Lonchura striata: one gene and its partner. The protein of the gene in region 1 purifies or fractionates together with the protein of each later gene. This does not show direct contact. Links are inferred from orthologs where the notes say so. Each region holds a gene or a part of one and is shown on either strand. Other genes may lie near its edges. The genes, in order: DNAJB6 and MLF2.

Region 1 (11,079 bases):
TTATGCTCATTATTTTAATATTCCCTCAGCATCCCCAGAGATGAATTTAATAAAACAAACATTCCAAAAAGCTTAGTTTAATCTCATGTTTACAGCAAACATCCTGCTTGTATGTCAGACAGCAGAGTGGATTTGGATACACTTGTTATTATTATACCAGTTCACACAGGAAGAAGGCAGCTGGGCTGACTGCTTTACCTCACAGTTCATATTCCATTGTAGAAAAGCCAGCAACAATAAAACTCCACCACAGCCAAACAAGAGAGGCCCTCACCCCTTAAGGCAGGAAGCTACAAAGAATCCTGTCCACTCCTCTCCTCCTCAAGGGCAGCAAACACAACTCTGGCACGATTTACAGGACTTGATCTGTATTGCTGCCTGGCACATGGAAAGCCTGTAGAGGGCAACAAGTAAGAAACCATTAAAAAAGAGTGAGCCAACCAAAAATGGAAACAGAAGAAATTCAAACTCTTCATCTGTGAAAGAAATGTAAACTGGCTAACAAATAACAGGAAAGGATGTTGATCAGTCAACAGGCCACCCTCACTCTCTTGAGCTGAGACTCTCCTCTGTTTATCCATCTGATCTCTGATAATGGGGGACTTACTAATGATCTTTCCTTAAAGCAAAGGAGCAAAACAACTCAGGTGTCCAAATTTGGAATTGTGTCACAAATATCTGGAACACTGTCACTTTCCTAAAACTAACCATAAAAGGCTATTTTATAGGAAGTAAAAGTCATGTTTTATTTCAAAAAATATATGATCTGCATATGATTAAGCAATTAAAAATAGTGAAAGCCTCAACTGAAAGACATGGCCCAGAAAGTTTTAGGCAAATCACATGCAGACAATCCTTTAGGGAAACGAAAACAGGGAAAATAGTTCAAAGTTTCTACACATTTCCCCTGAACTGTTTTTGAGTCATGATTACTTTATTTAAGCCAAACAAAAAGAAAAAAGAAAAATAAGCTTCATTAAAGCAAAGAGTAAGTTCTTATCAGAGTGTTGACAGACTTACCAATTCAGACTACATTTTAAGATAAAAAGAACAATTCTGATGAGAAAAATTAATGTTTTAATAAAAACTTGCTACAGTGTAGCTATAAATGGCTTCAGACTTACTATATGGCCTTTAAGATCCTTAAGTACTGAGTACTCACTAACACCAGTGGGATTTCAGTATTCAGAACAAATAGAAAACAAAACCTACAACTAGTAACTGTAGGAGTGTAATGTATATGCATGAATTATTTTTTCCCTAGCAGTTAAATAAATAAAGCAGAATGATTTCATTACGTCTAAAGTAAAGAAAGTCTAACATCCATTGAAATGTATTTCATTCAGAAGAAAATATAATTTAAACTACTAATACCCTCAACTAGAGTTTTATTTTAAATCTATCCTAAAAGAAACAAGCATCATATGCAAGATCCAACAAGTTTTGGCAAAGCTAAGTAATTTCTCACTAATCTTTCCATTGCTTGAAAAAGACAAAGGAAAAGCTTTGTCAGGAAATGTTTCCAGGACACAACTGAGGAGATTCTTTACAAATGCTATTAGAGATATGGAGCACTACCTACTTAAGGAGCACATCGCTTAAACATAAACCTCACACAGCTAAGTCTAAAATTACAGCAACGAATTCCCTTCAGAGCATGGCTCCACATTTCAGAAGCGGTGGATGTGCCCCGGGAAGTCTGAGTGCAGTGCGGGCTGTGCAGTGCAGGGCGGGCCGTGCCCTCCCGGGCTCGCAGGGCTGTGCAGGGTGGGCTGTGCCCTCCCGGGCTCGCAGGGGCCGGGCCGTGCCCTCCCGGGCTCGCAGGGGCCGGGCCGTGCCCTCCCGGGCTCGCAGGGGCCGGGCCGTGCCCTCCCGGGCTCGCAGGGGCGCGGACATTTCCGCCCGTGCCGGGCTCCGGAGCGGGCAGAGCGCACCCGCCGCCCCCGCTCGCAGACCTCGCTGCGCCAACGAGCGCGTTGAGGCACAGACGCACAACAGACCAAAAACCTGGTGGTCGTTTCTCGTGCGCTGTTAGGAACGCCTATATCCTACATAAAATGATGATGATGATTTAACGTAAATTATTCCCTCTCCTCGCATACATTCCAAAACTTCTAATGGATAAAAGAAAGAATAGAGTTCGCAAAGAAATCTATTCATCTATTTTTAAAAAGTCAGTACCAAAACACGTTAGCCTCTAACTAAAACTTCAGTGTTACACAAAAGTAAAGCCCTGCATGCCTTCTTCCCAAGCTCTGCCAAGATAAATTAGCAATCTGCATCGATCTGGGAAGGACAGAGAAAATAACCAGAGAGAGAAGCTGCCTGGATAAGAATCTGCTGTAGTTTGAAAGCACAAGTACTAAAAAGACAAGCCTGATGGAGAACAAGGGGAACTCTGCACTTTACAGATTTAGTTTACATTATTAGTAGCATTGTAGTCTAAACAGTGCTGCCAATAAAAGCAGCAATTTAAATTTCTACTCTAATAGAGATTATTTAAGAAAATTTAACACTAATTTAACTTCTATTTTCAACACTCTTATTCTCCACTGAGAAGTCAGCACAGGAGCCAAGGGGAGTACACAAAGTTAGACTAGTGTTGTGCAATAGTTAAAATTCTGGTTGTTTGCAATAAAAAAAGTAATCACGCAGACAAGATCTGTAAATACACTTATTCATTGGTCCAAACAAATCTTCTTTGACAACATAATCCATCAAACTAAATGGTATTTTCACTATTAGGCTCTTGATCACCAGCTGAACATAAAATCCCTAACTGGAGTACAAGGATCTCCAAAGAGTAAACAAAAATTAAGGTCAGCAGACAGCAGTGACTGCAACCTCTGCTGCAAGACCAGAGAGGCAGAGCCTTGCTTCATCCCAGTGGTCCCTTATGTCAGCACCTTGTTCTTATCACTTTTTGACACTTTATACTCTAAAAACTCTTGGGTTTGATCACTGACTATGCAATGACACAAGTCTAACTATTTGCACATAGTAAACGCAGATTTCATGCTACCGTGCCTAAATAAGTAGTTTATTATTACCACAATTTAGAACAGATTTGTTCAGTATTGTGAATTATTTCTAACACCTTTGTTAGCATGGTCGCAGCACGTTTTCAGCAGCCAAGGAGAGCTCAGACAGCAACACAACACAAAGCGTTGGTGCAAACAGGAACGCGAGTGGTAAACCCAGCCTGCTGTCCCCTCTGAAGTGCAACAAATACTGACGACAAACAGTGTTCCTTACCTGGCAGTATCAGTTTTCACCTCGGCTCGGAACCTGGCAACAGCGAGCTCAAAACACCCGACCTCTGCCGACCTCACCCACAACAAACCTCCCTCCTGCCGGCACCCCGAGTAATCAACACTGAGCAACGAAACCGAACTGCTTCCATCGGGGGAGAATCACAGCTCGTTTGGCGTACGGTCACCAGGGGTGGAAAACGCCTCTGAGATCACCCAGGGCAAACACCCCCAACACCGCCACCGAGATCACCCAGGGCAAACACCCCCCAACACCGCCACCGAGATCACCCAGGGCAAACACCCCCCAACACCGCCTCTGAGATCACCCAGGGCAAACACCCCCAACACCGCCACTGAGATTATCCAGGGCAAACACCCCCAACACCGCCACTGAGATCACCCAGGGCAAACACCCCCAACACCGCCACTGAGATCACCCAGGGCAAACACCCCCCAACACCGCCACCGAGATCACCCAGGGCAAAGACCCCCCAACACCGCCACTGAGATTATCCAGGGCAAACACCCCCCAACACCGCCTCTGAGATTATCCAGGGCAAACACCCCCCAACACCGCCACCGAGATCACCCAGGGCAAACATCCCCAACACCGCCTCTGAGATCACCCAGGGCAAACACCCCCCAACACCGCCACTGCGTCCCTTAACCACAAACCCGCCCCGCGCCACATCCAGCCGCTCCCGAACACTTCCAAAGCTGCCGACTCCACCACCACCCTAGGCAACCTATTCCAATGGCTGGCCACCCTAAATGTGAACTATTTTTTACACTATCTAATCTGAATCACGCCGTCTCATCTTAAGGCCATTTCCACTGATCCTCTCTCTGTCTGCAGGCACGGCCCGCAGCTCATCGCCATCTCCTTTCAGGGACTGGCAGAAAAAAGGAGGCCACAACGCTCGCAAGCCGCCCAGGCAGCACCCTGCGACAAAAAGCGCTTTAAGGACAAGGTGTGTTTAACGAAACGAGGCTCGCCCTCATCCCCTGGGAGTTGACACCCCTGTGAGCAAGGAATGGGAATCCGGAATTTTTTTTCTGCCTTGCGGCAGAGCGGGCTGGCACCGAACGTCCCGGGGTTTGTCCCGCCGGGGGCAGCCCTGGCCAGCCGCTGCCTCCCCGAGCTCCCAGCGACCCCCGAGCCCCGCCAAGGCCGAGCAGAGCCGCCGCGGCACCCGCGGCCGCTCCACCGCCGCCAGCAGGCCCCGCTACCAGGCACGCCGCTGCCCGGCACCGCGGCCCGGCCAAGCGGCCGCTCCCCGCCGCCCTCCGCCCGCCGCACGGCCGCGGCCGGGCAGCCCCGGGCCGAGGTCCCCGCGCTCACCCGCCGGTGGCTCCGCAGCGCGGCCGCCGCTCCCCGCCCGCCGCTCCCGCCGGCACCAACGGCAGCGGCCGCAAACAGGAAGTGCCGCCAGCGCGCGCCGCCGCTTCCGCCCCGCCGCTTCCGGAAGTTTCTGGAACGGCCCCGCCGGGCTCCCGTGCGAGCGGAGAGCGCCCCCTGCCGGCGGCCCGCGGCGCCGGGGCGGGGCTTCTGAGGGCCGGGTGTGCAGCAAAACAGGCAAAAAAGAAAAAGAAAAAGGTTAAGAAACCTTCTTTGAATAGCTGAGAAGTGAGATGGCAAAAATTCTTCCACTTTTGTGTCTGTACTCTCAAAAACTGGGGGTGGCAAGAGCATGGACAAGGCTCTGCTCCAGCAAGAGGAGATGAGGCAATGGGCAGAAACTGAGGCACGGAATTTCCACCTGAACGTGAGGGAGAACTTCTTTAGTGTGCAGTGACCGTGCACTGGAACAGGCTGCCCAGAGGAGCTGTGGAGTCTCCCACACTGGGTATTCCAGAGCCATCTAAACACAATCCTGTGCCACGGGCTCTGGGATCACCCTTCCAGCCTGACCCCTGCTGGGATTCTGTGAGGGAATTGCAAAAAGTGATGCCTGGGTGTGGTGCTGTAGGAAAAGGTGAAAAAACAACAATTTTAACAAACATTCTTTGAATAGGTGAGTTTGGGTGCTCAAGGTGAGATACCAAAAATTTTTCCCCTTTGTGTGTTTAAAGTTGGAGTCTCAAAAATTGTAACTCTGGCACACAATTCCTTTGAGGTCAGATTCCTCTCCATGCATGTAGCGCCCTGCACTGGCTGAATATATTGGAGCATCCTTTGTGTTATATTCAAGTATGTGGTTTTCTGAGTGCCATGGTTGAGAGCAAAGTATAAAGCAACAAAGTTACTATTTTAATTCTAAAATATAGATTTTATCCATGCTTTAAATTGCTGTAAAATTATATTTCTTGCCCCTAATTTAAAAAGTGGAGGCATTAATTTATAGCTCACCAAAATGAAGTTAGAGAGTTTCCACGCCTAAAATGTATGCTTCCAAAATAAATTCAATGAAAAGGCTACGCATTATTTAGGAAGTGTTTGTGTGGGAGTGGGGTCAGTTCAAAAAGACAAAAGCCAGCTTGCAATAAGGAAGAGGAAAACCTAAAACAAATCAGCAGGACAAGTAGTAGGACAACCCTAAGTACAGGCTTGGTGCTTTGGGGAAATGCAAGCTTCAAAAGAAATACTGTTGATTGTTGATGCTATGTTGTGGTCGTGGAAACAATTCTTCAAAATTAGAGCAGAGAGACACCTCACTCCATTATTAGTTTCTCATCAGCAAGTAGCTGTGAAGTCCAAGTTGTTGGTCCACTGGGAAAGAAAACACCCAAAGGATTAGTGGGTTAGACTGGCTCTTCCTAATGGGCCAAGTTCAGACCTCAGAGGATTCACAGCCTGGCAAATGCAAAGGCAGGTCAGTATTGTGAGGTGAGGGAGGAGACCATACAAAATTTTGATTTAATCCTTTAAACATTTCTTGTTCTTGAAATAATGGTTTTTCTCCAGCCTTTCATTACCAATTACAGGGGAGAAAAAAAGTGAAGAGTACTAAAACCTGAGCTGTAGTAAACAAGACAAAAGTCACACGAGGAAGTCTCTTTGCTTTAATAAGAGCAGATTTTATATTTACAGTTAAATATGATGGATGCCAACCATAAAACTTTCTGTTTAGCCAAGCAAGCAGAACATGGCAAAGAAGCATGATTCCATATGGAACTAGAGGGTTGGAATCAAAACACTGCCTGCATCAATGCAACCAGGACCATGGCTTCTTTAACACAATTTGTTATCATTACATTAATCTGCCCAGCGATTTTCTAACACTGTTCTGACTCTAAACAGCATAGCCCTGCTTTAGCATCCTTCAGATACAGGAATAACATTTGGGAAAGCTTAGAGACCAATTTTGCATTTGGAGAAAGGAAGGTATGAGAAGGTAAATTGCCTGCTCATAGCTGAGGGCAGCGTAGTTTAGCATTTTCTACAGCAAAACACTGAGAATGTTAATAAATGTTTCCTAACAAAGTTATAGATGAAAACAAAATAATTATTTTTTAAATAAAAAAAATTTAATTGGTTTATGCTTGTCTTTGAAAAAGATAAGAAGACATTTCCCAATACTTCTCTGAAGAGGCAGTTTACAGAGCCACCAATTACAAATATAATTTATTAGGGGATCTCTTTTTTTTTAACTTATGGTCATTGATAGCTCAGATTATCTCCTGAACAATAACAAGAATTATTTACTTTTTAAACATTTGCTCAAATTGGCACACAATATTTAATTTTCTGTTCTCTGTTACAGGGAAAGGCAGGTGATTTCAATTAAAATAGCATGTGGCAAAGCCCACCAGAAGAGGTACTGCAGGGGATACCGAAGCACACACATCCAGGATTGCCCTGGTTGAACTTCAAATGGTTGGTGATTGCCCAGCCCTCTGATTTGTCTGGGTCTCTGCAGGGCCTCCCTTCCCTCAAGGGAGTCAGCAACTCCTCCCAGTTTAGTGTCCTTGGCAAACTTAGTTAGTATCCCATCCGAGTCATTGATGAGGATGTTGAGGAGCGCAGGGCTGAGGCTGGGCCCTGTGGAACCCCAGTGGGGACAGGACACCAGCCTGCTGTCACCCCATCCACTGCAACCCTTGGTGCTGACCCGTGAGCCAAACGCTCGCCCATCCCATGATGTGTTTATCCAGCTGTGTGCTGGACATTTTGTCCACAAGGATCCTGGGAGAGAGAGTACTGAATGTTTTATTGAAATCCAAAAGGATTGCATAACTGGCTCATTAACATTTTTAATTAGCTCTATGTATAGGACTAATAAAACTGAAAAGCTTTTTGATTCAGAACACCTTCAAAGGTATTTTCAAAAGTATGAAGTCAAAGTGTCCTGTGTTTTTATGGCTTGCTGCTTGCAGCAGAAGCCTGGAGTTGCTGGCAGAGCATCAACATTCCAATAACAAAAGAGGGTCTGTGGGTCTGTTAAAGCTGGTATCAGAGATCCAGGCTGATATCCAAGTGCCAAGTCATTGAGTCAGAGTAAAGCTGCTATCAAAGAATCTTAATTGTTTAAGAATTTTCAACTCTCCTCTGGGAACATGAGAGAAAGGTTTTGTCATCTCACCCAAATTCAGCTGTCTCGAACATCCAGTTCAAGGCCATTGACTGTGAAGAGAGGGGAGGAGAGGACACATCCAGGGCTCAGTTCCTTCCACCCTCTTTGGAGATGTGTTTTAGGAAAGGAACCACCCACCAGAGCTCTGTCCCAGGGCTGCCTTTTCTCCCTAAATGCCACCTCACAGATGCCTGAAGTTAAGTGAGATGAATTCAGCCCTAACTGGCAGCTATAACCTAATGATGGAAATCACGTGGCAGTGTTCCAGGAGGTATTGGCAATTCACAGGGTTCCCAGATGCTTTTTTTAAACCATCTTTCATGATTTATGGAGGTCAATTATATAAAGCCCATCAGAACACAAGAAATGTTTAAAAATGCTGCATTAGAGAGACATTAATGTTAATCCTCCTGAGGTGGTAATGGCTGTAGCCTTCCCAGCCTGCTGCTCTGCCCTGCTGTGTAATGCATCCCGTTCTTCTATTTACAGATTTACAGATTCTATTTTTGGTGTTAACAAAGAATATGAGCATATGTATCAAAGACTGTTCTCATATCATCTAATTATAGTACTGCTGGCAAAGTAATTCTGGAAAGTGCCACTTAATTAAATGTAAGCATTAACTTTTTCCTGATAGTTTATCAGAAACAATTAGACTTGAAATATGTGCAATACACCTAGAGTTTAAAACTTTCAGTAGAAGCATTAAAAGCACAAAATAACCCAATTTCTCTTGCATTCTCCAGTGTTTTCCTGCTGAGCACAACCTCAGTTTTCATCTGTAGTGTGTGTGTCTTAGGTAATCTAGAGGCTGCAAGTTTATCTGGACTCCTCTTTGTGTGCAAAAAGCTGAGCTAAGAGAATGCTTTTGAAAGTACTTAAACCACTTCAGCATAGTTGATGCTTCTGCCAATTCCTCCTGAAATATCAGATCTATTTTGCTGACTATTTGAGGTCTGCACAAAACAACCCAGAACTGTTTGGGGCAGTCAGACAATCTCACAGCTTATGCAAAATGCTTATTCTTTGCAAGGACAGCTTGATCAGCACTTATGTTCATTAACTTGATCAGGGATATGCTTTTTTGTCCATGTGACAATGTGAAATATTAGTTAATTCCATGTAATTTTTTATCAATAGCCAGATAGATCTACCAGATAATTATACCTAAAGTATCTCTGCAGAACTTTGAGGTCTGCTGCTTTTTACCTGAAAAGTGAAGAGGGGAAAAAAGAAAAACAGAGCTGTAATGAAAATAATTCCTAAGTAAAGATACAAGGTCTAAAAGAAACAATTCCTTCAGAAGGTTTGTTTGACAACATACAGCAAAACTACATAGCAACTGAGAGAGATGCTTTTCCCAGGTCTAACATTTTGGCAAGCAGCAGTAGCAGGAGGATCTGAAATAACACCATCTGGTGAATGCCTGTTTCTTTCTTCAGCAACCAAGAACTATGTATAACTATAAACAAGGAATAAAATAGAAATAATGCAAAACTACTTTTCAGTTAAATGTTACACAGAATGAACAAACAGCTGCTCTGGGAATGCAGAAAAGAATGATGTTAAATATAGTAGGAAATTTGAGCATGCTGCTCCTATAAATACATGAACCAACTTTGCACACAGAATTTATGATTCTGCAGAGCTGTGGACAGGGAAGCTTAGGCCCAGACTGGAGAGCAACTATTCTGGCAATAAATGTAGCAACGATTTAATCATCACACAAGGAGAGCTCATCCCTTGACAGTGTGAAATCAAGCTGCAGGACATCTCTGCCTGCCTTTATGTCCCATTTTTTGCCAGTCAGAATGCCTATGTTTCTCCTATTTGACAGTCTGATGTGATTTGCTGAATTTTGGGCTACTCGACCTTCAGAAGACAGTCAAAATACAGGAGTTTGCACAAGATGTTGCACTTGGGTGTTTGATACTGTTGGTGGCAGAAGCAAATAAACAGTTAGGTGATTTAACATTAATCCTATGGCTTTTATATCAATATTTAGCAACCTATCTATAAACATTTGTGAAAATAACTCAGAGATCAGTTTTTACAAAGTCTGCTATTTTACATTGATAAGAGTTTTGCAAAATCCTTGAAAAGTCAAAGCAGAACTGGAAGTTGAAAAAGTAAAGCCACAAAATCTTAAATCCAACCTTACCTGGTAAGTGCCACTGATTAACCACCACAGGAATCTGGTAAGGAAGAGACTGTCACTTAACTCAGTCCCCAGTCACATCAAACTCTACAAAAGGTATTTTGAAGATGCTGCTGGGGTCACTAACAAGGCAGAGCAAGATGATTGAGGTTTTGGAGGCCGTGTCATATGATGAGAGGCTGATGCTGTTCAGCCTGGAAAAGGCTCAGCTTCCTTAGTACTGCCCCACAGGACAAGAGGCAAGGGGCACAAATTGGAATACAAGAAATGTGTTTAAACATGATTTTAAAGGTTTTATTGTGAAGTTAATTGAACACTGAAAACAGATTGCACAGAGAAGTTGTGGATTCTCCATCCAAGAAGACATTCAGAACTCCACAGGTGAAGGTCTTGCAACCTGCTGTAGGTGACCCTGCTTTGAGCTGGGGGTTGGAAGAGGTGATCTCCAGACATTCCTCCTGACTTCAGCTATTCTATGTTCTCTCTAATGGATTCAATTTGTCTAACTTCATGATCACTTCTTGCCTTGTTTTGTCTCTCTATACACATGAGAAATTTAATGCCCTTTCCAGACTACCAGATACATACTGAAAAACAGGTCAGATACATGGGCATTTGTCTTTTTATTAATGTTACAAATTAGCAAATGCCCTACAAGAGGAGTTTTCTGTAGTTTTATGTCTACCACATTTTTAGTAGCAGGTAAGCTGAAGCATATATGCTGCTATTTCTAAACATTCAAAAATAAATATGCACCATACTAACTATAAATATTAAAAGAACTAAAAGTGTATTTAGCAAAGAAAATAATAAATAAGCAAAGGGAAGAAGATTAAGTCTAATTATCAAAGGAGATAAAACTAAATTGTACCTTCAAAGGAGCCCACATGTGCTAGAATTCCAGAAACAGTTGAGACATTTTTGTGTTTGCTGACAGAAATTTTTGTGTTTGCTGAAGAGTAGCATTCTTCACTATCAATTCCAGCTTCTCAGACTTCTATCCATGGAGTTTTATTCTTTCCAAAGATTCTGAACAAGTTTTCACAAATCAGAGCAAGTGCATTGTTTGAAAGACACCCTGAAAACAACGGTAAACTTCAGAGCTGCAGCTTCCTTGCCAGAGTGGGAAATCACAGCTCGAAAGCTGAAGGGT
Region 2 (11,223 bases), on another chromosome or scaffold:
AAGCAAAGCTTACAGCCTCTGCCACCTTGGCAGGTGTGGCTCAGTCAGTAAGAGACATTAGAGGGATGGCAGAAGTACCCTCAGGACTCCCCTCAATACAGAACAGTTCATGGAGGGTTCTTACCATGTTTCCAATCATGTCGTTCATCATCCCAAACATATCTATAAAGCCACCTGCCTAATAAAAAGGAAAAGAAAACACAAGAGTAGTCAGTCTGGGAAGAAACATGAGGAAAGAACAACAAACTATCTGCAAAAAAATCTGCTGCCTAAGAAGAAGAACCTTTGGTTTTTCTTCACGTTCTTTCAGTAGCGCAGGAAAAAAAAAGCCAACAGAATTTGGGGTTGCTGTTCTCTCCATTCTCTCAGGCTGCATTGCCCAATGTTCTGGCAAAGGTTGTTCTTTTAGCTTGGATCCAACTGCCGATGCACTGGGGTTTGTAAGCCTGGGGACTCAGCAAAGTTAGGAGAATGATTCTCAGCATGTGCACTAACAGTGATCTTAAGAAAGTTTCCACTGATTGTTTTCTTTCTAGCATAAAAACAAATTTGCTTATTTTCCCCTACAAACACCTGCCTTTTCCACTCTTTAAACCTGAACACTGCAGTAACACCCTGGGCCAGCAAGTCTCACAGGTTAATTGTGCAATATGTAAACAAAATTACAATGTCAGTTCAAACTTGCTGATTTCTTTTTTTTTTGTTTCCTCGAGTAGCCTCTTGTTCTCGTTTCCAGCAGAGCAGTACTCACACACAATGTTATTATGCTTTGAAGTCTATGTGTTTGTAGTCTTATTAATCCTCCTCTGAGCTACAAAAATTCCAGGACGCTGGAGTCTCTTTCATTGAGGCAATTCTGCAGAGCAAGGCAGCTGAAGTTGCTGGATCTGGAATAACCTATTTGCACTGTATTATTTCGGCGGAAGACGGAGATCAGCACGCTCCGAGTGCGGTGTTCTCACGTACACACAGCCATTCTCATTCCAGCCCTGCTTACCTGAAGAATTCTGCTGGCTTCTCCAGCTGCCACCACTGGCAAAGGAGGTGCAATAATCCCCTCTGTCTACTGATGGCCAAGTCCTTTCCTCCCATCCTCACAGCTCCTCCATTACCTCCAGCTCTGCAGCTTCTTTTCAGACATATGAGGTTATTAAGGGACTACCTGCTCTTCCCAGATATTAACTGTCCCAATTCCCATGAAATATTGTGCTATAACAGCTTTATGACTTTTCCCTGGTCAAGGTGCAAATACAACTTCCCCATATACACAGAGTTAGACTCTCTCTTCAAAAACAGCTCACGGACAGGATTAAAACATTAGAGGGGAAACAAGGTAAAGGCCTGAAGTCATAAAACAACTCAATGAGAGGTCCAGGAGAAACCAGATGCTTCCAGTTTCAGTTCAATACCTTCTTCCCTATTCCATTTACTATAAATCTAAAGCTCATCCTGGTATCCTCAGACATTTCCATCCTCCCCACCTGGTAGGATAGCTGGTCACGCTCACAGATGGCTACATTTTAGCACCGGTTGCACACAGTGCTGATGAATCTCAGTATGGAGCCACTACTTGGAAAGCCTCTAATCTGACCCAGAAAAACAGAAAACTTACCATGCCGAGCATCCCAAAGGGTGAAACAGCTCCTGCCTGCCAGGAGAACAGAAAAGCAGAACAGAGAATGACTTTGCAACAGCCAAACACTAGATCCTCATCAGAACACAATAATCCTTCTCAGAAACAGAACTGGGAACACTCAGGCTCTACAAACAGATCAAGAAAGCACCCCACGGATTCCTGGCGTTCAAGCCATATCACCCCTGATGAACCAGACATGAGGTGATGCTCCTAAATTTCTCCCCATTATATGAATTCACATCCTTGAGAAACAACACGTATTTATTCCTTTCCTCCCGCCCAACCTAGAACACTGTTGCCTTCAACACCTTAATACAGGTGGAATAAAGAGAAGGACCAGAACACCACTGCCTAAGAGATTTATTCTGCACCTGTGTGGAGGAGAGGGGGCGTGCCCAAGCCAGGAGGGGTGGGAGACAGAAAGTGACAGATCAGTTTGGGAAATTCTAGCCTGTACTCAGCCTGCGTTACCTGCATCCTGCGGCCAGCCTGGCGAGCCCCAGGTGTGGTGCCATCCGTGATGCCGAGGAGCGGCCCGAACCCGAAACTCCCAGACAGCATGCGGTTCATGTGCTGCCGGTGGATGGCAAAAGGATCCCTTTTGGAGAGGTGGAGAGAACAATGGTGAGGATAAAGCCCCATATAATCCGCTCCTCCCAGCTCTGTGTTTTTCTTACACAACTGTACAGTCCTTCCCAAGCTGGAAATTGAGAATCCTGTGTAGTCTGTGTTGTCTATGGTGATTACAGGGGCTGGAAGGGATCTCTGGATCCAATCACATTTCTTGTGATAGAAGGTTTCATACCGCAGAAACCCTCTCAGGTACTAATTTCTGTCTGCTCAGAAGCAGGTTGGTGTTCTGCTTCAGTAGTGCTCTGGAGCCAAGTATGGTCAAAACCACTCCAAAACCTCAATGCTCCAACATCTTTTAGAGGGAGGTGCACAAAGACCTTCCTGGCTGCAAGGTGAGGGCTACACTTAGGCACCAGGGAGCAAGAGAATCCCATATATCATCCCCTCACCCTTCCATGTACACAGACACAAACAGTGAAATGCAAGACTGGAACCTCCAGACTGTACTGCACAGCCTGGCATCCCTCTGCCCCCCAGGGCGTGAGACCACATACAGCTTTTCCAGATTTGAGGGAGAAAGGGAACAATAACTGGGATCCCTAACTGGTTTTCCCTTCTCTTTCAGCCTCCACTTTGAGGGCTGCACACACTCACACAGGTTGGTGAAGCAAGAGGAGGAAAAGGAGGGTAAGGGTAAAGAGTCATAGAACAGGGTGGCCACAATAAGAAACTTCTGGGAAATACCATAGCTTTTTTCCTGCTCATCTTGTAGCCTGCAATTATCCCTCTTGAGTTTTAATGACCTCTATAGCACAGATTATTCCTGAGATGACAGAAGCACCCACTACTTAAATACTTAAAACCAATACTTTTCTGTCTCTACTGGAAATGCTTCCCATAATAAAAGCTAGACTCATACCTGTCATGTTAATGAGAACACACTGTCATTCGGTGACTAACTGGGACATCAAGGTCTCCTCTCCTGCTAATTTGCTCACAGCTGATAAAATTCTTGCTTACTATTGATTTAATAAATTGACTATTCTTCTACATACATAAATTTCACCAAATTTCTACTAATGTCTTGTTTAACATAATCAAATTCTTCCTGTATTACAGTCTATTCCTTTTCCACTTTAGCAAGGCTGCCAACTTAAGCGTCACTGCCAAAATTTATCAATAGCATCCAATTTCTGTACTGAGGACAGAAACAAAAACATTCAGTGAAAGGAATCCCAGGAACAGCTCTTGGGAGCTTTGTCAGATTTCAATACTTGTGTTTCAAAACCACTCGTTGTTTTGTCTTTACTTTGTTCCTCACAACTTGACAACTGCTTCAGCAGCCTTCTCCAGCTCCATTAATGACTTCCTGTGCAGAACAGCAACAAACACTGGACAGAGCAGCAGATTTTATCTATCTCAACTGCAACCCTAGTTTGCATAATGAAACAAAAAAAAATCCTTGCGCAAAGAAAAAGATTAGTTATGATTCCAGCCCTCTCTTCCTCTCAAGACAGCTGCGATGCCTTTTGGCCTACTTTGTTACGCTTTCCTCCAAGACCACGCTGCCGTAGCGCAGAAAGGAGTCGGACGCGGTCGCTGCTGCCGGGCGCGCTGCCCCTCCGGAGGATGTCTGCGTCCGTCCCCGGAGAGCTGCGCTGCTGCGGCGGCGCTCCCGGCCCGCCCGGCCCGGCCCGGCCCGGCCCGGCCCGCCGGCGGGACGCGGGCAGCGCGCCCCTCCCCGGGGGCGCTCCGTGCCGCAGCCCTGCCGCCGACCCCCCGCAGGACGCCCACCCCGACTCACATGGCAAACATGGGGTCCTCCGGCTCGCCATCCCGCATCAGCCGGAACATGCTTCCCTCGCTCGGGGGCGGCCTCTGCGGAGCGGAGAGGGCGGTGAGCGCAGCCGGGGCTGAGGGCGGGCGGGGCGGAGCGCGGAGCCGCCCCCCCGCCCCGCCCCGCCCCGCCCCGCCCCGCCCCGCCGCCAGCCGGGGCGGGTGATGGCACCGCTGCCCCCCGGGCCCGGCCCACCCGCCGCGCCCCCGCCCCGCCGTGCCTGCCGGTGCCGGCGGTCCCGGTTCGGCGCTGCCCGAGCCCCCGGGCCGCTCACGCCCCCGCGCCCATCGCGCCCCGCACCGCGCTGCCTCCGCCCCGCCCGCGCCGCGCATGCGCGCCCGCCCCGGGGCAGGGCGCGGGCGGGGCGGGGCCGCGCGGCACAGCGCCCCCTGGCGCCCCCGCGGGCGGCGCCCCCGGCCCCAGCTCCCGCCGGGCAGCCCGGGAACGGGAATGGGAGTGGGAGTGGGAGTGGGAGTGGGAGTGGGAGTGGGAGTGGGAGTGGGAGTGGGAGTGGGAATGGGAGTGGGAGTGGGAATGGGAGTGGGAGTGGGAGTGGGAGTGGGAGTGGGAATGGGAGTGGGAATGGGAATGGGAATGGGAATGGGAATGGGAATGGGAATGGTAATGGTAATGGGAATGGGAATGGGAATGGGAGTGGGAGTGGGAGTGGGAATGGGAATGGGAGTGGGAATGGTAGTGGGAATGGGAATGGGAATGGGAGTGGGAATGGGAGTGGGAATGGGAATGGGAATGGGAATGGGAATGGGAGTGGGAGTGGGAATGGTAATGGGAATGGGAATGGGAATGGGAATGGGAATGGGAATGGGAGTGGGAGTGGGAGTGGGAGTGGGAATGGTAATGGGAATGGGAATGGGAATGGGAATGGGAATGGGAATGGGAGTGGGAGTGGGAATGGGAGTGGGAGTGGGAATGGGAATGGGAACGGGAGTGGTAATGGGAGTGGGAATGGGAATGAGATTGGGTATGGGAGTGGGAATGGGAGTGGGAATGGGAATGGGAGTGGGAATGGGAATGGGAGTGGGTATGGGAGTGGTAATGGAAGTGAGAACGGGAATGGGAGTGGGAACGGGAGTGGTAATGGGAATGGGAATGGGAATGGGAGTGGGAGTGGTAATGGGAGTGGGAATGGGAATGGGAGTGGGAGTGGTAATGGGAGTGGGAATGGGAATGAGATTGGGTATGGGAGTGGGAATGGGAGTGGGAATGGGAATGGGAGTGGGAATGGGAATGGGAGTGGGTATGGGAGTGGTAATGGAAGTGAGAACGGGAATGGGAATGGGAACGGGAGTGGTAATGGGAGTGGGAATGGGAATGGGAGTGGGAGTGGTAATGGGAGTGGGAGTGGGAGTGGGAATGGGAATGGGAGTGGTAATGGTAATAGTAATGGGAGTGGGAGTGGGAATGGGAATGGGAACGGGAACGAGAACGGGAGTGGGAATGGGAGTGGGAATGGGAGTGGGAATGGGAGTGGGAGTGGGAGTGGGAGTGGGAGTGGGAGTGGGAGTGGGAGTAGGAATGGGAATGGGAGGATGCAGTGGTAACGGAGGCACCGGGCAGGCCCCGTCGCTCTGCTCAGCCTCCCCAGCAGGGCCAGCGCGGGGGCAGGCACTGATCGCTTCTCTCTGTGGCAGGACCCGTGGGAATGGCCTGAGCTTGTGTCAGGGGAGGTCTAGGCTGGATATCAGGCAAAGGTTTTTAACCCATGGGGTAGCTGGGCATTCGAACAGGCTCCCCAGGAAAGCAGCCACAGCACTAAGCCTGACAGAATTCAAGATGTGTTTGGACAACACTCTCAGGCACATGGTGTGACTCTTGGTGATGGTCCTGTGAAGGGCCAGGAGCTGGACTTGACGATCCTGTGGGTCCCTTCCAACTCGGAATATTCTGTGATTCTGTAGTAATCCCTGTGGCTCGCGGCCAGCTGGTTCCTGGCCAGAGTCCACAGCGTTGCCTGGCTGCTGCAGAGGCAGCACTTATCCCAGGCTTCCTGCATGGCATGGGCACGTAGGAGGCACCCACAGAGCTGCTCGTCTGTGCTGAGCACATGGACAGCGAGTGCACGCAGTGCTCTGCTGGGGAAGCAGGGAGGATACTTTGTAAGCCAGCTGTGGGTCATCACTGATCCTGGACAGCCACTGGGAATCACAGGCACAGCTTAGGTACTTGTGTGCACCTACTGCAGTGGTGGGGAGTCTCCAGAAAGCAGGGGGATGACACCTCTGTCACCATCTCTGGGGAGTGCTGGGTCCCTTCAGCTACCACCAGCCCCACTGGATTACAGGGAAGAGAGCAGACTGACTCATCCCAGCTCCAGCCCAGGGCACGCTTCCTCACTGGTGCTTCTGGTGACTGTTGCATCCGGCCCACCACGTGTAGGAGCCAGACTGGATTCGTGCCAGAGGACTGGAAATAGCAGGCTGCAAGAAGTGGTTGAGAAACGGAGCTCCTGAGTTGTGGCAGGAGCCATGTCCTTGGATTTTGGAGCCTGACAGAGGAAAATGACCCAGTAGCATGCTTCACGTGTGGAATGCATAGAGGACTTGGCAATATTTCTTGCTACAGCAGGTCTCAAAACTGCTCAGTATTGAGAAAGAAGACCTCTCACGGGAGGCCTGTGCCTGTGTGCATACAGAAAGCTCTTCAGAAGTCCCTTCTGTGTACGCAGTAATTGCATTCTGCAGAGGCTGAAACCAAAACGTCCACAAAAGGGGAACTGTCAACAGCAAAATGGTGCAGGATCGTGATGTGGACACAAGTCCTATGGGAAGGGCCAAACCTCTTGGAGGGAGGTTGTTTGTAAGTGAGCTGCTGACTCTGACTCCTGTCACCAGCTCAGAACTCATCTGTGAGTGCTGAAGTTCACACAAAGCCCTTGGTGGTGCTGCCTCAACTTCTCTGATGCTGCTTCTGCAAACCTGAATCATCCTTCAGAGACCTCCAGTCTGGAAAGCCTTTCCTGTCTGGTGTGTTTTCCTTTTGTTCTGAGGCGCTCTGGTGTTTGATTGGAGTGCGGAGTTGACCTCAAGTGTCAGGATGCAAAGGCAGGTAAAGATCTTCTAGGGCAGAAATGTAAACATCTCTTTTGGTTTTCTTCTTTTTTTTTTTTTTTCTTTCTTTCTTCTTTTCTCCAGATCTGGGATAAAATAAATTCCTGGTCCCTGGATACTAGTGATCCTCCCACTCCTGCAATGTCCCAGAGATGGTAGGGCTCTCTCAGTTTTTCCAAAGTATAAGTCAGGCATTGCTGCCTTCAAACACAGAGGGGAAAGGAACAGGAAATTGTCTGGAACAAACACGGCTCTGCAGATCCTTTTTTCTGTCCCTAATGCTGCTCCTCTGCAAGTGCAACCTAAGGGCTGAGTTTGTGAGGTTGGGGGCTGAGGCTGTGGCTCTCCCTGGGTATTTCTGCAGCCTTACAGGCAGTCCTTACACCTGATGGACGCTTTACCAGAGGCTGCATTTCCGGGGCCATTGCCAGTTCAGCAAACCTCGAGGTCTGCCGAAACCACCATGCGCAAACCTTGCTCGCAGAGATTCACGGTGATAGCAAACGCTGCGTGAAACCCTGGGAGCGGGAATTAGAACGGCAACCTTTCTGTGGAATTTGGACAAGGGCACGGTCGTGAGGAATGCAGGATCTGTTGCTGCAGTGCCCGAGGTGCTCCGAGGGGATGGCCAGAACAACGAGCGACACGGGGCTGTGAGTGAGAAGCAAGGCTCCCATCTCGCTCCCCTCTATTCAGGCCGCTTCTCTTTTCGCCATGAACAAGAACCATGATGTCTCTCCGTTTCCTTTCTTTATTCCCTCTGAGCTGCCCGGGCCGTGCCGGGGCGGCGGGGGCGGGGAGCAGCGCTCGGCGGGCGGCGCGGCGGCGGCGAGCGAAGGGCGGCTCGGAAGGCGATGAACGGCGCCGCTGCCCGGCCCCGCCTCGCCTGCCCGCGGCACCCCCGGCACCCCCAGGGGTTTTTCCCGGCCCCGGGAAAGCGAACTGAGCATCGCCTGGCGGAGGCAAATAAAGGCAGGGTGAGAAACCCTGCCTCGCTACCTGCTGCCGGCACGCACCCAGCGCTGGGGCCGGGAACAGCTTCGTAACGCGCCCGAACGCCGCAGAGGAGCCCCGTGGACGTCTGGAAGACAAAGAAAACCTCGTTACCAGAAGTCAGAGCTACCCACAGCCATTTCCTCATTGGTTCCCTTCATCTGTGCCTCTTACGTAATCCTCACCCAACAACTGACTCTGACCTCAGATGAAGGGCACCCCGAGTGAAGGACAGCTCTGATTTGATCCTCAAATGGGAAAAATCATATTCGGGATGCTACAGCCAGCTTGTGGTGGCTGCAGCTTGCGTTGCGTGGCAGCGATTACTTTCAGAATATTTTGCTCGTGTTAAGAGTGTGTCTGTCACACTGTGAGTGAGAACCACGACCTCCCATCTGTGCTGCGTTAGCAAAGACAGGCTCACAAAAAAATCACGATTGAAAACATCCCTCCTCTTTCCAGTCTTCTGACAGGCTGTGTCACCCCTTGTCATTCCCTTCTACTCCTCTTGCTTCTTCTCCTTGTTTTACCTACCCTGCTTCCCAGCCCTCCTGCAGGGCTTATTTAAATATGCTGCCTCTCAGGAAGCCATTTCCCAATGCAAAGTTGGCCGGTGGTTGAATTCTTGGGTCTTTCCTCTTAACTTCACTATATGGCATAGCGGAAGAAGAACAAAGCGGATTATCTGCTGGGATTTTTAGTGGACACAGTACAGAAAGATGAACAGCGTGACTTAAATACATAAATGCATTCAAGCAGATTCCCTCTGCACACTGAGATTTTGCTACTTTTGCTGTACGTGAAAGGACAGATATTCTGCATTTATGTAAATCTAAGAAAATTTAATGCAAATACACATCCTTCTGCTCTTTTGTTATTCAGCAAACAGTTTGGAACCACTTAGGAGTTAGCTCAGTAAATATAATTCTTAAAATACCCAGTTTTTGTGTTTTGCTTTTGCTCAGAAAATGGCTCGCAGTTAGTTCAGCCTTCAAAATAAACACAAAAGTCACCATCCCCTCTGCCCCCATCAGAACATAGTGGCATGACTAGCAAGGTAATAGACCAAAATGCATAAATAATTGCTTCTAGGTGCATTCACCCCACATTTGCTGGGAGAAGAAAAATAGATACCACGCATGAAAGCCCTAACACATCTCAACCACGTGCTCACGTATGTTGGCAAATGCCTGCAAGCTCAAGGCACACCTCAGTAGAAAAGTACCATACTTTCTACACTCACAAAAGTAAAAGAATGTAACAGGGGGAAAATATCCCCTCTGTACACAACCAGGTATGTACTGCACCTAAACACATGCGCACACCTACATAAACACCAAGCACAAACAGGGTACAGTACCAAAATTGTGACACTGCACGGAGAAAATTACATTCCCATTGTTGTCTGGGCTGCAGGCAGACACGGAGAGTGTCTGTTCCACACAATGATCTGTCATGTAACTTCTGCACCTCCCTCATTTTGTCTAAGGACATAAGTCTCCAAAAAGGATGGAATATGTTCTGCTGAGTTGGCAAAGCAACTACAGACAAAGACTACGGAACGCACTGAGCAGAGACTGACATCTGCAGAGCTCACAATGAGTGTACTTGCATTTGCAGCAGAGGGGAAGGCACAGATGGGAGAGAGGAGCAGAGAAAAGCTGCAGATCAATCTGGCAGGCGAAATGCAGAGTGGCACAGATCAGGTGGAGGAGCAGAAGTCACAGGGAAGAGCTAGGTGAGACAGTCAGTGGATATCCTCAGGGCTTGAGGGAGGCAGCTGCACACTAGAAGCCCAGCAAATCTCACTACCAGGATCCAAAGGGCAAGAAGAGTCAGAATGCAGAAACAGGCAGATGACAAGGAATGAAGAAGAATTTAATGTTGGATTTAAGGGGAAAAGCATAGTTGATACAATAATGCAGGGCAAAATGGGACATGAAAAACAAAGGAGGGGATGTGAAATGAATTTTGCATGTAAGATACAGGATGTCACAAAGAGAAGCCGGGGAGAGGGCCATGGGGAGAGTGCTGCCAAGAACACAGGTAGGAGACAAATGCCAAGAAGCAGCAGATGAGGGAAAAATTGCAAAGGGGATGGGGTGGGGAGCATGGAAGTGACAATGTGAAGTTGCACACTGCAGGTGCTGGGGAGGAAAGGAGAGCTTGCTGCTGCCATGCCAGTTTGTAGTTGACCCATGCTGACCCAACAGCGCCATCCCACAGGTAGCTGGAAACAAGCTCCCCTTGCACAAACAGGTGTTTGTCAATTTGCATCTGTGGGTTCGCAGCCTGTGTGAACATGGAGCTTTGGGCACGGGAACATCCCTGAACGTAATCCTTTGCTTTCTCCCCTCTAGGATGTTGTGTCAAGGCCTGTTTGTGCATTAATGTGAAGATGTCTTTGCCAAGGGATATGTGTCAATGTAATTATGTGTTTTCAGTGGTTGAGTGTGTAAAGGAAGAGGATCCTGGAAAATAAATTCTGGGTTGGTGAGGAGAACAGCAGAGCAATGAGCCACGCACCTTCTGTCAAGCAGAAAGCAGAGAGGAACACCATCCGGCCCCTATATAGATTACTTTGGGTCCTGTTTTAGGTGTATATCTAGAAATTAAGATTTTCTTCTTGTGAAAGGGAAGGATGAAAGAGGAGTACTTGTACCAAACCAGGGCTGGAATGCTGATAGCAGCTAGACCTGAGAAATTGGCCAGATCGGTTTTGTGAAACAGTAGGGGAAAAAAATTAGTGCACGCATTTTCATAATTTGGTTTATTTTGGTACTAGTCTAGATGTGTGCATGTGAGTTACAGGACTGTTTTTTGGAGCAGGCACTCTGCACTGTGTATAGCTGTGAAGAACGTCAATTAGTCAGATCATGAGAGAAGCAGCTGTAGCTGTGGAGGAGACGAGACAACAAGCTGGGTAGCTTCTACCTCCCTGTCACACAGATTATAATTTATCCAATATCTTTCCTACTTTCCTTCAGGAGATACATACTCAGGGCCCTATGTTCCACAAATACGAATGGCTTTTGCTGTTAAATGCTCGAACTGAGACACATTCAATTAAACTCAAGAGCACCCGCTCTAAATCCTGACTTTGCAGGGAGGCTGAG

The links.
Region 2: the proteins of DNAJB6 (region 1) and MLF2 purify together in Homo sapiens (affinity purification with mass spectrometry; 3 studies listed by BioGRID and IntAct, with this or other methods). This does not show direct contact. The link is inferred for Lonchura striata from reciprocal best matches to the Homo sapiens genes DNAJB6 and MLF2.

What each region holds. Positions count from the first base shown.
Region 1 is NC_134603.1:148,334,009-148,345,087, forward strand, and holds the start of DNAJB6 (dnaJ homolog subfamily B member 6), read right to left. Parts: upstream 4,709-11,079; 5' UTR 4,597-4,708; intron 3,504-4,596; exon of another isoform or gene 3,256-3,503; intron 395-3,255; exon of another isoform or gene 275-394; intron 1-274. UniProt on the Homo sapiens protein: Has a stimulatory effect on the ATPase activity of HSP70 in a dose-dependent and time-dependent manner and hence acts as a co-chaperone of HSP70. Plays an indispensable role in the organization of KRT8/KRT18 filaments.
Region 2 is NC_134604.1:29,631,104-29,642,326, forward strand, and holds the start of MLF2 (myeloid leukemia factor 2), read right to left. Parts: upstream 4,380-11,223; 5' UTR 4,347-4,379; exon of another isoform or gene 4,267-4,346; intron 4,088-4,266; 5' UTR 4,064-4,087; coding exon 4,014-4,063; intron 2,235-4,013; coding exon 2,108-2,234; intron 1,649-2,107; coding exon 1,613-1,648; intron 179-1,612; coding exon 125-178; intron 1-124.